2 linked regions of the Lepisosteus oculatus genome follow. Each later gene encodes a partner of the first gene's protein in a complex. Links are inferred from orthologs where the notes say so. Each region holds a gene or a part of one and is shown in the gene's direction. Other genes may lie near its edges.

The links.
Region 2: the proteins of tgfb1b (region 1) and lrrc32 are in contact, whole or in part, in a cryo-EM structure (PDB 8VSC), measured with the Homo sapiens proteins. The link is inferred for Lepisosteus oculatus from reciprocal best matches to the Homo sapiens genes TGFB1 and LRRC32. Residues at the interface, in NP_000651.3 of Homo sapiens: Leu30, Ser31, Thr32, Cys33, Lys34, Pro325, Pro327, Tyr328, Ile329, Trp330, Ser331, Leu332, Thr334, Gln335, Tyr336, Val339, Leu342, His346, Ala353, Pro354; in NP_001122394.1 of Homo sapiens: Ser135, Tyr137, Glu158, Ser160, Thr162, Val184, Met186, Asp187, Ile188, Glu189, Asp190, Phe193, Leu202, Leu204, Arg206, Asn207, Ser208, Leu209, Thr210, Cys211, Ile212, Ser213, Asp214, Phe215, Ser216, Leu217, Leu223, Leu225, Cys227, Ser229.

Annotation. Positions count from the first base shown.
Region 1 is NC_090698.1:6,675,505-6,682,999, forward strand, and holds the start of tgfb1b (transforming growth factor beta-1 proprotein), read left to right. Parts: upstream 1-4,493; 5' UTR 4,494-7,389; coding exon 7,390-7,495. Other genes in the region: b9d2 (B9 domain-containing protein 2), read left to right, coding at 2,457-2,544, 2,666-2,791, 3,598-3,911. UniProt on the Homo sapiens protein: Transforming growth factor beta-1 proprotein: Precursor of the Latency-associated peptide (LAP) and Transforming growth factor beta-1 (TGF-beta-1) chains, which constitute the regulatory and active subunit of TGF-beta-1, respectively.
Region 2 is NC_090700.1:6,485,903-6,493,898, reverse strand, and holds the start of lrrc32 (transforming growth factor beta activator LRRC32), read left to right. Parts: upstream 1-4,922; 5' UTR 4,923-5,831; coding exon 5,832-5,918; intron 5,919-7,070; coding exon 7,071-7,169; intron 7,170-7,996.

The DNA of each region.
Region 1 (7,495 bases):
GTGTTAGACGATTGATTGTACCGATTGTAGTTAACGGCTTTCGACTTGTTACTGCACAGTTCTGCACCAACTGTTCGTTTTCCTTATCCTTGTAATGTAGTACACATCAGTACCGTTCCGCGCAGTGTGTCAGAACTGTACTGTTCCACTGCAATACTCTTTATGTGTGCTAGTTATAAGATGAATGGAGCAATGACACTTCGTACACACTCAGGGGAAACCAAGGCATAGGTCCAGGGCGATATTTCGAGCAGGTCCGTCAGTCTCCACGCACGCCTGCGTGGAGAACACGCACTGGGGTGGGTCATTAATCGATAAAGAGCCCACGGGTGTTACCTGCAGTAACTCATCGATGGGAACTTGATCCTCGTGGTACCATTTGGTTTTGGGCCAGCTCTCATTGATCGATTGTTTGGTCAGATCAGCTCACTTTATTTTACCTGTAATTACAGTACTTCCCGGACGGCGGTTCGACAGCGTCCCGACTACCTTAAAAAAAAACCCGAGCCCGGGACCACGTGACATCAAGGACCAATGGCAGAGCCCGGTGTCGGGTTGCTAAGGAAGTGGCGGGGACTCGCCTCTCTAGCCCTGGAGACCGCCGCTTGAATGTAAACAAGGAAAGTTAATTTGATTAATGAAGTAAAACAAACCTGGAAAGCACCGGGAGGATTGAAGGTAAAATTTCGGTGTCTTCGGGATTAAGTCGTGAGGTGTCTCACCACTCTATAAAGCTGTTTTTTTATATTACATGAAATACAATCTCGAGAGCGTCTTTACCGCTTGGAACAGCACCTGCATTGTTTACTATCTGGTAACTGGACAGACTGGTCTAGGTTGTGCCAGATAACGGAACGGTGTGATGTTACAGTAGAATAAAATGTTATTTCACACCCTTTTCCAGGTTTCTGGAGTTATTATTTTACAAGGATCAAACACCTGATTTTTTTCTGCAAGTAACTTGACGCGCCTGCCAGTAGGAAACAGCTCGTATTTCTATCACAGTGCATAGTGTGTGATTTATTAACAATGGGTTCGTAACAGCATGCTATAAAATGCGTTAAAACGTGAGTTAAGAGCATCCTACCACAAGTGCCTTCCCCTTTTCACTCCCAACTTAATTTCAGAGTGATTAAAATTAAATTGAATCATTATTTTCCAGTTTGTAACAACAGAGTAGCCTGAAAGAAGCAATTGTATCATTAATAGATTGAAGAATGCAGCTTTGAGGATGCATCTGCACTGAATCTGAGCAGTGTGATAAGAACATAAGACAGATTAGACATAAGAAGATCAGCAATAATATTATAAAGATTACATTACAAAAGAGGAGGCCATCTAGCCCATTTGATGGTTATTAATTGATCCAAGGAGCTTATCCAATCGTTTTAGTAAAGACGTCTGTGAAATGGTTTCAACAACAAGGCTGGGTAGCTTGTTTTGTTCCCTACTCTTTGGCTAAAGAAGCGTTTGTTCTATGCTCTTAAAGCGTTTCAGCATAGTTTACATACAGTACAGTGTGTGTCCCCTTGGTCATGTTCCATGGTTTAATCTGCTGGTATCCACTGGTCCCCCTGCGTGATGGTAATGTTTTTCCAGACATACAGACCAGCACTTCAGTGGGCTCAATATGAGAGCAAGTTAATTAAGTGAGTCTGTGAATTGATCATCCAATGAACGTTCTTCAAAGGTGAAGGAACTGACTCGGGTGTTTAAAATCCTCCGGGCCATTGAGAACATCAGCCCATTGGATGTCTTCAGAATCAACAGAGCAAAACAAGCGAACAAGTGGAAACGAAGGGGAAGCACATTCATCTTGTTTGTCACCTAACAATTATATGACCTTTATTTATCACCATTGTTCCCTATGCATGTAATAGAAATCCATTGGAATGTTTCACAAGGTTATGGGTGCTCCTGTTCTAAAATAACCCTGGCCAGTGCCCACTGCAGTGTAGTCCTCTCTCACATTGCAGTATGGTGCTCTTTGCCTCTGTGATCTGATTTCTTCCTCAGCGCAGCAGCCTTTAGGTGAGGTATGATTTCCCAGGTCAGATCGTTAGCACTGACAGCTGGTCTCGGTGCCGGAACAGTTCAGGGACCAGCCAGCATTGTTGTAAGATGAGGGTGTCCGTAAACCTGTGACGAGATGGCAGAATAGATGGCTATTGCTACAGGATGATGCTGATAATGAGAACAATCTACCTTACCTGTGAAGTGTATTTCGTATACAGTATCATTCACTTTTTTTGCTTTACTTGTATACAGGCTTAAAGTTTTGACAGTACCTGTATTTCATTTATCTTTCCAGTGTCAGTGTGAAATAGTGTCCTGTTGTGTCTTGTGTCTGCCAGTGTGTAACGGTGTTCTGTTGTATCTTCTGTCTGCCAGTGTGTAACGGTGTTCTGTTGTGTCTTGTGTCTGCCAGTGTGTAAGGGTGTTTCTCTCTCAGCAGGATGGCGGAGCTGCACATTATAGGCCAGATTGTGGGGGCCAGTGGCTTCCCTCAGAACAGCCTCTTCTGCAAGTGGGGTGTCCACACAGGTATTCACCAGCCATGATCAGGCCTACCTTCACTCAGTTCTAAACCTTCAATGATTTGATGTCCTCCCTTATCTCAGTGAGGACACAGTGCACGTGCGTTACAGTGTTGTGTGTGTTGCAGGAGGGGCATGGCGCCTGCTGTCAGGGCTGAGGGAAGGGCAGACACAGGTGGACTCTCCCCAGATTGGTGAAGTGGCCTATTGGAGCCATCCCATAGACCTACACTTTGCCACCAAGGGACTGCAAGGTACTTCCTCCTCCTTCTCTTTCCCTTTTCCCTGTCTCAGTTGCTTACCTCTCTTCTCTTTCTGTCCTCTCTCCTGTCTTTCCCCTTTTCTTCCTGTTTCTCATTCTGTTCCTCTCCTTTCTCTCTCTGTTTCCCCTTTCTTCCTGTCCTCTCAGTCTCTGTGATTTGGAAAAAAACAACATAAATGTTGCCCCACAACTGTAATCATACCTTACAGCACATTGTCTGTTCATCTGTCGAGTTAACTCATTTTAATGCACATCTATGTAAACCTTCTTCCTTTGGTTAATGGTTTCTGCGCTGTATTTAACAGTGAACTGAAATGGCCCAGAGTTTGATTTATGAATGCATAAAATTGCCATTTGTATTGAGCACACTTTTTTTTAAGATCAATTTCACCTTACAGTATGTTGTCTCCAGCTCAGAGCTGATGTTTCTGTACTGATGTTTTCAGTGTGTCCACACACTTTGCTGTGGGCCTCCCTTTTACTGCAAGAGGACCGCATCTTTTCACATGTGCTGTGCAGTGACGTCAAGCATTCTGAACTGCAGTTTCAGCAGAGTTAACCCTTGCTCTTTGTTTCTTGGATGGATGAAGACAAGCTAACGTTGACTCCCACTGTCAAGGGTTATACTGTAGTTCCTATGAAAAACGAGGGGTTTGCAGAATTCAGTTATGGGGAAGAAATATCCATCTGGGTGAATGGAAGACTTGCACTGACCTGGATTTTTTGGGGTTTGCTTTTTGATTATTTTTTTTTACTCCATCTGGAAAGAACAGTTTGACTTGAGCTTTGTCTCTCCAGGGTGGCCCAAGCTGCACCTGCAGGTGTGGGACCAGGACTCGTTTGGCCGCTGCCAGATGGCTGGCTATGGGTTCTGCCACGTGCCCTCCAGCCCTGGGCACCACCGACTGCGTTGCGGCACCTGGCGGCCCCTGGGGCCCTGGCAGGACAGGCTGGTGCAGACCTTCGTGGGAGGGGGGCCACAGCTGCGCTCCCCTGACCTCATCTACACTGGGGCAGACCGCTACAGACTGCACACGGTGGCTTCGGGCACCGTGGACCTGGAGCTGAGCATCGTCTTGAGACACTTCGACCGCTACGGAGTAGAGAGCTGAGAGAGGAGGAGAGGCAGAAGGGAAGCGCAGGGGAAGGTTTGAGAGAGGGTTTGGTGTGTGGGGCGAGAGGGAGAACGAGAGAGAGAATGGGAGGGGATGTGAGGACTTGAGGAGGCCAGCAGGCTGCGAGCTGTCTGCAGTGGAAAACTCAGGACGGCTCTCAGGTCTGTCCAGTTCTGGACCTCAGCAGGGAAAGAGGGGAAACAGTTGCTGTGTGTGGACAGGTATCATGCTCTTTGTAAGTATGGCTCTACCCCTGCTCTGCCACAAGGGGGCAGGCTGAGTCTTGGAATGGCATCTCTCATACAAGTTCCCATTAACACGTTGACAGTCACACGCAATGAAACTAATCCCATTCTTTGTTAAAATGAATTTTTGTATTTGAACCCAGCGTGACTTTTGTATATTTTTATATATGTATTGTGTTTTAGAGTTGGAAACCATTTTACTTTTTTAAAACGCATATATTAAAAGTTTGGTTTTCCATAGTTTCTCCGATGTTTAATTGTGGGTCAGTAAATGAAACTATGAGGTCTTGTGCCTCTTGTTTGAGGGCTCTTGTGCTGCTGCTTCTTACCTTTATCTTCTTCTTTGCCATCTTTCCTTTCATCTTTTTCCACTTACTATATATCATGATTGTCATCTTTTCTCTTTACTAACCTGTTTTTATTGTTTTGAATGATTGTATTCCTCATAATTGTCTTAATCTTTCTGCATGGTTCTTCTGCGTAGGGCAAGAGAGATGTGTTCTCTTTCAGTATCTCGGTGTGGGAGGCTTGTTTGTGCACAAGTGACAGTGTTTTTGTTTGAGTGCGAGAGTGTGTACTATAATGTGCGACTGAGTGGATTTGTGTTTCACAGTGTGAGTTTGTAACTCATTGTGTTCTTGTATCCCCCTGTTTCAGTGTATCTTGTCTCCTGTTGTTCTGTGCCGTGTGGGGTAGCCCTGTGGAAAAAGGAAGGAAAGATGTGTTTGAGGTCTTTGAGAGGACATGTGCAGGGGAAGATAGTGCAATAGGAATTATCTATGTGCAGTAGACTAAGAACCACACTAATAAACTTCCCCATAGTATTTCCTGGCTGTTGGACTTATTCAAGTCACGGTCAATCGCTACTGCGCAGAAATGTGTTATCTGATCACTTTGTTTTAGTTAGTTCACTTTGCCTGTCCGTCTGTCAGTGTGTCAGTCAGCCGGTCAGTGTGTCACTCAGTTAGTGAGTCAGTGGGTTATTCAGCTGTCTTGGTAGCTACTCAGACTTCCAAGTCTTTCTGTATGAAGAGAGAGCAACACTCTCACAGTCGGAGAAGAAACAGATGTTCTAGCGTTGCATCCGTTTACCCTCATTTCCTGGGCGGAGAGTTTCTGGCTCTTTTAGAGCTGCAACAGGAACGAAAAAAATTAAATAGAGGGAGGGAGGGTATGGAACAGCCCTCACTAATCATTTTGTCACTAGCAAGCTCTGACAAGCAGAAGTAGTTGAGGAGAGAGAGAGAGCGTGAACAGAAAAAGAAAAGTGGCTGAAAGAGAAAGGTTCCGAGCTCTTAACAGAGAGCCAGAGAGCTGATAAACGGGGGGGAAAATCAGTTAAAGAGACGAAAAACAGACAAATCGGGACACAGAGTGAGAAAGAAAGACTACGTTCGGATCAAAACTTTTAATAGAGGAGCTCCGAATGAACACTTACTACAGCTAGCACTACAACTCCTGCTGAGACACACAGACTGGTTTGAGCTGCTTGATTTTCATACTCTGTTCTTTTCAAATGTTTGTGCTTTAGCGTCTTAAGGTTTATTTTCAAGAAATTCCCTTTAAATATTTGTTTCACCTTTTTTGCCTTGAAACGGCTCCTCTGTTTGTTTGTTGAGTTTTATTTTTGGAAAGAGCACGGCTCTTCGGCTTGGTTGGAAGGAAGGGAGTAGTTTCTTTTGCCTTCTTCCAGTTGCTTTAATATTTCTAATAGGGTCCAGACAAGGAAAGGTGGGGGAGGTGGTACGTTGGGTTGTAATTGAGAGGTGCTCTGGGCTCTGGCTGCTGTGTCAGAGGGGTGCCTTGCTGTTACTGCTGCTTTTTTCCAGGCACATTATTCGGCTTCCTCTGGGCTGCCTTCTCCTACGCTCTGTAACACCTCATCCCCTCTGGGCTCCTCTCACACTCTCTCTGCGCATACTACAGGGAAGAACTGTTATTTTGGAAAAAAAAACAGACTTTATTTTTAAGCCTCTGTGTTTTGTTTTGAAGCAGAATTGAAACTGCTGATGGTGAAATGAGGAGTACCAGTTTCCTTTAGATACATTACAAATTTTTAGCTTATTGAGCTTTTATATATATATATAAATGTATTTATAGTCTTTTTTAATTTATTAATCCCAATTCCCCCCCCACTGTTTTAATTCAGTTGCTGGTAGCGGATTATTTATTGTCTCAGAACGTGTTCTGTATTTATTTGTTTATTTGAAGAGAACAGCTCTTCTGTGATAGTGTGCTGCGTGTGTTGGCTCTCTTGCTCTGTCCTTGTACCTTTTGGTGAGAAGGCTGGTCAGCTTTAATATCTGCTACTGCTGTCTGAAGCGGTCTGATCCGGAGTGTCACCGGCAAGGCAAGCTAACAGATCTGTCTCAGGAAGTCCGGGTCATCTGAGAGTACTTCTGTTTTCTTCTTTACCGCTTCAACTTGATCGTGGAGAGGAGGAGGGGAGTCACAGCGAGAAGGAAGGAAGTAGATAAAGAGAGACTCTAAAACGAACGAAGAAAGAATTAGCAGTGGTCGGGGTAAAAAACGAAAAAGATGAAGGGACAGAGAGTCAACAAGCGTGAGGGACAGAGAGCTTGAAGCCAAGAATACAGAGAGTAAAGATTGGGGACGAAGAGACGAAAGCAGAGAAGGGAGACCCCTAGTTTCCAGGCGGGGAGACCAGAGCTGAGCCCCCTCTCCATTGCAGCCCAGCTGTGGAGAGAGACGGCTTTTCATAAAGGAGGCCACAGAGGTAAGACGACCGTCTCCAGTTGTCACAGGCAGAGAGGCTGATGCTGAGGACACCTGTAGCCCTAAAATCCTGCATTGTCACCTGTGCTGAGACAGGGAGACTTGTGGCAACGTGCTGTCAGGCTTGTCAAAGAGGGGTAGTCTCCTCCCTTGCCTTGAGACACGGGAGTTCTCTTATGTGAGGCAGTAGCACTGGACGCTTTTAGAGGGAAGTCCAACCACTACACAGAGCCTGAAGATAACTCAACAAGACTTCATCTGTTTAATTCCTCCCCCATCTCAACGTGCTGGACAACCGAGGGCTGTGTAACAGGACCGCCAGAGCACAACAGGACATCAATCAAGCAGTTTGTAGCCGGCTAGACTGACACTCAAACATTTAATTAATACACAGGTTACATATACCAGAGCAGGATTTCCATAAACCTGCGTTGTGCTTGAGTAAAAGACAGCGAGGACACTGTCGGTACGTTGGGGCGCTTGTTCTGGTCACCATGAGATCGGACCGCTTGTTGTTCCTGGGCCTGTGGTTGCTAGGCAGCCTGAGCCAGGTCTTCGCCCTGTCGACCTGCAAGCCGCTGGACCTAGAGCTGGCGAAGC
Region 2 (7,996 bases), on another chromosome or scaffold:
TATTATTTTATACTTAGCTGTCGATTCGAAACGACGTTTCCGCCGTGCATACAGAACAGTGATGTTATTAGGCAGCATTAATTACAGGGGCTGGAACAGGCGGTCAAGATCCCCTTTAAATATATTTGTTGAGTCCAGTTCTCCTTCAGGGTATCACCGGACGAGGATGAATTATCTCTTTGTACTGTGTATAGACCAGAATCCAAAGCTTTCGAGCAAGCAACAGGCTAAATGTTATCATCTGATTCAAGACACGTATCAGAAAATAAAAGATCACAATCTTTTTAGTTAGTTTTAGATGGGACTTTAGTTATTTAAAATTAGTTTATTAAAATTTAAATTAGTTTAAATTAGTTTAGATGGGACACTTGCTTTCTGTACCGCCGTTAATATACCATAACGTCGGCTTTATTTATTTTTTATTTCTAACAGCGCTTTATTTAGCAGAAGAGAGGTCAGGTGGGCGAAGACGTGAAACGAGGAGGGGAAGACGGATGGAGCTCGCGTCAGGTCGAGCGCATGGAGAGGGCACCCGATTTCGACGAGAAGCGGAAATCATCCCAGAGCTCCTGCTCTATTGTGCTCGTCCTCCTTTCGACCGCGAATTAGACTGCAGCTGCCCCCCGGTCGTATAGAGCTCAAGCGTCGGTCATTAGATATAACATAAAAACGCTTGAAGGTTTACAAACGAAAAGAGAGGTGCAGCCTGTTTATAGCTAGCTGGGGAGCTTATCCAGGTGTTTCTCTGGGGGAAGACAGAATATTAGGTTCAACGGCAAGGTTGGGTAGTTTCACAGTCCAGCAGGCCCTTGTGCATGAGAAGGTCTCCCGTTGACACTTTGAAACGCACTTCCTCATAGTTACCGTTTGGTTCCTGAATTCAACATGAATCTGACAGACGCAATGAAGCGAATTGTGTGTACGAGGGCTTCCTGGCCCGTCGTTTTGTCTTGCTTTCCCTGGGAACAGTTTAGATCAACACTGACATCTGCTGGTACCGAGAGAGTACAGTTAAACCACAGACCTATTGATAGAAATTGGCATTTCTATCTGGTTAATTCAAATTATAGTACTATATACATATATCAGCTGGAAAGGTTTCTAAGGTTAACTAGATGCGATGTTTTTATTTTTAATACTATATTAATATTTACTAAATTTTCCTTTGGCCTCAACAAGACAACAATAAGACCAGTGTAATACAGAATACATAAACCGTCCAGTGTGTTTTACAGTATGCATACAGTCAAGTCGGTGAAGTCATCCCTGCATGGTTTTATCAAAAATATACTCTGTGTCGTCTGAAAAGCTTAGTTTATTATCAATGAACACACATAGATATTAAAAACAACGAACCATCTCCACAAGCTGAACATTTGTATTTATAGGTTGCAGTGTGGTTGGCTCAAATTCTGCCAGAGTGTAGCATAATTGTTTTGTTTTCCTGACTTTTATTTCAAAAGTGATTGATTGGCACCAATCGATAAGAGCTAACACTCGATCACAGTAGAGTGTTTGGTCAAGGCTATACTATTTAAGCAAAACACCATCATTAATCTGCTTTTCATTTGTATAGGTTGAAAACAACACTGGTAATAAAACACATCTTTATGTTTTAGTTTTAAACCAGTCCTCCTGGTGAAGACTGGATTACTTGATCAACTCGTTTACAGTTTCAATTCATCATAGAAAATGTTTTACCACAGATAAACGCAAAGAAAATTAATGTCTACCAAGTTTTAATACATCCAGTGCTATTTACTTTTCAGCGAATAATGCATTAAAACCGTGACCAGAAATAACTGGCACGTCAAAGCCCAAAAACCGTCACTTAAATCACGGATGTACTGTATGACACTGATAAAAGATCCTGCTAACAGTGTGAAAAAAGAAATCGCTGCCCTGTGTCAAAGTTTAGCTTTGTTTCCGCATCAGCAATTTCTGTGAGAACGCGAAAAAACCCACTGTTTTGGCGTTAAGCATTTTAAGAACTGTGGGAAATATTGTTTGGTTGTTTTGTGTTTTTGCAGCAGAGATTACGTTGATAAGAGGTTAAAACAACTCTTGTATGCATTAGCGACACATTTTATGCACGTTTCAGTGACATCTTCTATGTTGCGTTAGGTTTGCATTTTTTTTTGCATTATTTTGCTTAGGATCGGTCACCAATAAGACACTTTCAGTCGGCTGGCAGGGTTGTCCAGGATCACCTGTATGTTTATGCAGATTTTAATGTACAGTAGTTCAGGTGGGTAGCTGCGTCAGCATGCTTATCCTGCAAATGAACAAGTAATAGGTTTATTCCATGCTGAAAAGAGAAGAGAGAAAACACGTTTCGGCTGTGGAGCCTTCTTCGGGTGTGAAGAAGGCTCCACAGCCGAAACGTCGTGTTTCCTTTTCTGTGTAGTAGCCACACAGTAACGTCAATGACAATCACCACGGAAGATTCCTTTATAACGCTTCTGCGCCACTAGATGGAGACAATGATTAAAATACCGCACTTCTTCCCTGTTTAGTCTCGTACTCAAGGTCAATGGTCATTCCCGCCGGCTGGACTGCAATTAAGCAGCAACATCACAAGGTGGCATGACACAATATGACAAGAAAAACGTTTTGTTTTTGTTCGACTTAGGCTCGCTCTTTAATGTACCTGTCGTCACGGCCACCCTTCAAAGTGATGACGGACGAAAATATAAAATCCGAAAGGAGTCAGAAAGGAGACAAACGGAAAGGCACACATTATTAAAATAATGCTTGTAAAAAAAAAAAGGAAACGTAACTCGCGAACGAATTTGTGCAAGATGTATGCAAATGAATGAGCCTTATTTAAAATCTGCGCCCAGCTATAGGGAATCCCTGAGGGAGCTCTCCCACAGAAAATGGGAAATCCCCTCTTCCCGCTGGCACTATACTACTCAGAACACCCAAGTCTCCAAACATTAATCTGCAAGAGAAAGTCAATGTCGGAATACAAGAGGCAAGCTGCAGCAATGCTGGAAACGCACCGAAGCAGCATGGACATCAGGCGGTGGTCCAGCAGGGTTTAAGCTTGGAAGTTTAATTTAAAAAAAAAAACTTGGCTCGTGAACTTGAGACGCGGTGATGTTTTCTGGGATGTTCGCGACAGAAGCAAGATCCCAGCATCCTTGTGCTAGTCTGGATTAACTCTGAGACTCGGCAAAAAACAAACAACAACAACACTGTTATTTCACCTCACAGGAGAGCAGGTAGGTTATCGCGTCTTCCGTAATAATGTCTTCCAGGTGCAATGACTGATGTGCAAATTTTCTGATCAGTTTCGTTGAGAACATCCAATGGAAATGCGCTGCTTTCCGCTAAGCAAACTGATGACCCCTTCTGGTGTTCCTAAAAGACTCGTATATCTGACAAAGAAAATATTATTGTATTTTTAAAATCTTGGTAATAAGAAATTATAATAATAGACACTTGCCTAAGAATAATCACAGTGGCATCTTTAAATTCACGCCTTATATTATGTAGGTTAACCTATAACACTCAATAATATCAGAAGTGAACCTTTGCTAAAATCTTTGGTTGCAAGTGTTTTAACTTATTTATTAGAGACAGGTGGCACTGTACTAGCTTCAAGTGGTGGAGATAAAAATGTTGTCTTTCTCTCAACTACCTATTATTATTATTATTATTATTATTATTATTATTGAGATCAATTAGCTGCCCACTGTATCTTCAAACAACATTTTTTATATAATTTGACAAGGAAAAAGACTGTTGTTTCCTCAAGGCTTTGGTAAGGAAATAAAAAAATACAGTAGTCTATTCATTAAAAACACCTGCTGCCACAAGCCAATTACACAATTGAACCTGTAAGCCATTTGATTCGCATGTTCAGTAAAAAATAGACACAAACAAAAAAATGGGAAATTCATGACCTTTTCAATTTGTGCCCTTAAAAAATGTCAGTAAGCTTTAGTCATCTATTATTCTCAAAGCTGACAGAGCTCTCTTGTTGTGAAAAAAAAATGTTTTCCAGTTTGTGAAGATTGGAGTTGTAGATTGCTCAATGAAAAGTGAATGCGCTTAGAGGCTAACAAAACCTCTGTTCAAGCCTTGTCATGTCTGTAAGTCTTGAGTAGGCAAACAGAAAGACAGGCTGGATCTCTGCTGTTTTGTAACAACCTTGAGCTTCAGCTTTTGTGGTCCTCCCAGGACCAGCTGCAGGAAAATGCTTTTTGATACCGGTTGCTTTTACCTGTGTCCCAGAAATTCTGGGAAAAGGGTTTTTGCTGAGCCATGTAGGCTACTAGCTGGACTTCCTGAAGGTGGGGTTAGGCAGGTGTTACTGATGGATTACCTGGCGGCTGGGTATTCTTTTAAAGAATTTCTTCCATCTAGCAGAGGGTTACTCACTGGAGTAGTAAGTAGTAACGCCTTTAAAATTCTACAAAGACATAATTGCAGGGCCTGTAAAATCTTAAAATAAACCAAAAAACAGTGGTAAGGGGGGAGGAATACTTACAGAAAAGAATAAACATGTTTCAAAGTTTGCATTTTGTATTCGCATGGAAAACACGCACGGAATTTTAAACTGTTTATGTGCCGTATTGCATGTTGAGCAGTGCCATCCCGGATGTGAGGAGATAGGAGTCTTATAAAGTTAGACACATTTTGAAGCATGAAGCATTAGGACCCTGTTTCACCATGTGTTGTCAGATAAGAGAGAAAACATGGACTTCCCAATCCCAAATAAGGAACTGACGGGGGGAAAAAAAAGCAATCCTGCAGGATATTCCCACAGGATGTATTAGCTGCCGTCTATAGCTGAAAGGTGCAGGGGCAGAGCCAGCTGGACAGCAGTCAGGGAGGATGTGTGAGCATCACAGCAGCAACATGAGCAGCACACTCTGGAGGGGGAAATAATTCTTACCAGAAGGTAACTTGACTTTTTGTCGATTTTGCTTGCTTTGTTCGATGCACATGATACAAATGAAATGAGACACGAGGAAGGGAGAATGGCCACAGAAAGAGGAGAGCTGGAAAGGAATTTTGAGAAGTGGAACTAGTGTGGGAAGGATGAAAGTGGGCTGTTTCCCAAGACAGAAAGAATTGGAAAGGCAGAGAGCTAGGCATATATATCGGCGTGAGAAGCTATGAGTTCCTATGGCAATACCTGCCACTTTTTCGAAGATATACACGTTTTCTAATCAAGACAATGTAAACAGTGGAATTTAAAGTCTTATCATAGTTGGATGTCACAGGAACTTTAAGTCTTTAAACTAAAGTAAGAAACAAACTTTTAAGCATTTAAATTCAGAAGGAAAAAAACTCCTACAAGAGGTGGTAAAAATACTCAGACGTGTCTTTGTGGTTTTACCACATGAGACAGGTTTGATTTTCTGGACAGTATTTGTTGCTGCTGTGGGACTTGTTGCTAAGTGCAGTCCAGTGTGTTTGTGGCTTTCATTTTAGTGGCTCATGCAAGCAATAACCAAGTAACCTCTCCAAGGACAACATTGCAACCAAGTCTTGTTTGATAGCTTGCATATGTCATAAAGCAATTGGATTTCCAATTGCAATGTTTGATAAAAATGGGCAACTTCCCACCCCTGCGAGAGGAGCAGTTAGGAAAATAATCTAGAAAAGAACATGACAACTTAACTAACAGGAATCTACCTGTCTATCTGCATGAGGTATATACTGTATATAATATGACAGAGTGAGAAATTGTCTTAACTGTATTATGACATCCATGCTGTGTCCACTACTTCATTCTCCTGTCAACCGGAGACTAACCTAGCAGACACAGGGAACAAGACATACTGCAGAAATTGGTGCACCTGGAGAAAACCCACATGAACATAAGGAGACTGTGCAGGCTCTGCAACCAAGAATTGAACCCAGGACACCCGACTGTGGCACATCTATATTACTGCATACACGTAAAAATACACTTTGATTGTTGCTTTAAAATTTGTAATGTACTTTGGTAATAGAATTTCTATAGAAGTGTAACTAAAAGCCTTTTCTGTTTAAGACCTAAATTAAAATGTGTTTAAGCACACTTCTAAGTTCAACAGTTTAACAGTAATAGTTTGAAAAGGTAGCTCCTTATTTTCCTCAACAAATGGCCTATAAATATTTCAATGTATTCATTCAGAAAGTTGTCACACTCATATCTGCCTGAGCACTGTGTCCAGGAGCAGTTGATAAGCCATTGATAAGTTCTTAATTAGTCAATTTTGGTGAGTAAATGCAGACTGTGTGTTACATATTTAATTATAGCTAACCTTTAAACAGACTTTTTAAAAGAATGGCTGATCTGTAGGTGTTTCCTGTTATTTTGTATTCTCAGATTTGTAACAAACTGTACATGGATTAAAAGAATCAGGTGCTTTTAGATGGTTTTGACTGTATTGTCAAGATTGGAAGTTCTGTGGTGCTGTGTAGTGTTAATGGACATCACAATAGATCCGTACACACAACATGCTTCCTGTCTTAGGTATACTGTGAGGACTGCTTTCCTACCAATTAATTTCACTTTAGAAACCAGTCATTTTCTAGGTCCTTATGACCCCAAGTTCACCTTAAGTTTAAACAGTAACATCTGGAGGTAGTAAAAAAGATACATTTATAGATAAAAAATGTATAGATAAAACTACTTTGATAAAGATTGTATGTGAAGTGGGTTTGCATGTGTATGTACTCAGCTTAGTGACTGTGACATGTTTAGCACGTCGATTTTAACAAAGGTATTTAAGCAGTTTATTTTTTGGATCCAATTAAACCTGAAGAACAATAAAAAGCCGATCTACCTGATTATTTGATAACAATACTGTAATTGTGTGGGACAATGACACAATCACAGGTCAAAGTCATCGAGTACATTTTTATTTTCACTATTTTGCCATTAAGTGTCACTGTCAGAGCCTCCACTTCCCTGTCAGAGCTGTTAGGCAGCTTCTCATTGAGTTTCATCCCACACAACGTCTGAAAACCCCCAAGCCATGGTCTAGTCCTTTCATTCTGTTTTTTCTTTTTTCTTATTCATTCATGATTTTCTGTGTGTTTTTTTTCCGGTGTTGATGCTCCAGACTTCGAGCACGATGGCACTGTATCTCTGGTTCCTTCTGGCTGTCACGAATGAAGCGACGGCCACATTCCGGCCCCGGCAGCTCTCTCCCTGCCCCATGGTAAGTGACCAGAAGCGTGGTGAGTGTGGCTGGCCAGTTTACTCTGCCGCGAGCTTGTGGGCGATGCAGCACTGTGGTGAAGACGGATCGTTTGATTCAAACAAACTTCAGCTTTCACGGCTTGTTGTTCTCTGTTCACGAGCATGACCTGGTAAGAGGAACTTGTTGCCTTTGTTCGGAGTTAAATGACAGCGTGTGGGGAGCACAGAGAAGTGTCAGGACAGGAACCTGGAGGAGTGTGCTCATAGAAGCTGCTGTAACACTTTGAAGCTTGTCCATTTCACTGCTGTGGTGATTGCTAGCAGAGCTCATACCTGTTTCAGGCAGGTTGGCGAGGTGAGCTCAACAAAAGGCTTTTCTGGACGCAGAGATTTCTAAATTTCACTTTACTTTTTGTACGCTAAGTGAGGCTAATCTAATATTAGGAGCAGCGAAGAATAAATTCTTAGCTAAAAAGCATGGGTCATAAAAACAAATTGGGATTTCACAGCAGGAATGCCTATTTGTTTGTTTTAATGAGCTTCTCATCAGTCTCTGCCGATTCTACTATGTTTTTGCCTTGTCTCATAAGAACACAAGAAATGCTAACATTTCAACAGTTTTTAAACTTCTTTATAACACGAGCTTGTTCCACCCTCCTGCCACCCTTTGGGTACAGAAGCACCTCCTGCTCTTGGTTTGAAATGCTTTTCTATGTAGTTCACTGTTCATTTTGAAGAAGTCAGCTGGGTTGTCAACACCTTTGAGGATGTTGAATACATGCGTCAGGTCTCCTTGTAGACTTCTCCATTCAAGACTAAAAACGAATTTCTTTCAGCCTGTCAGTG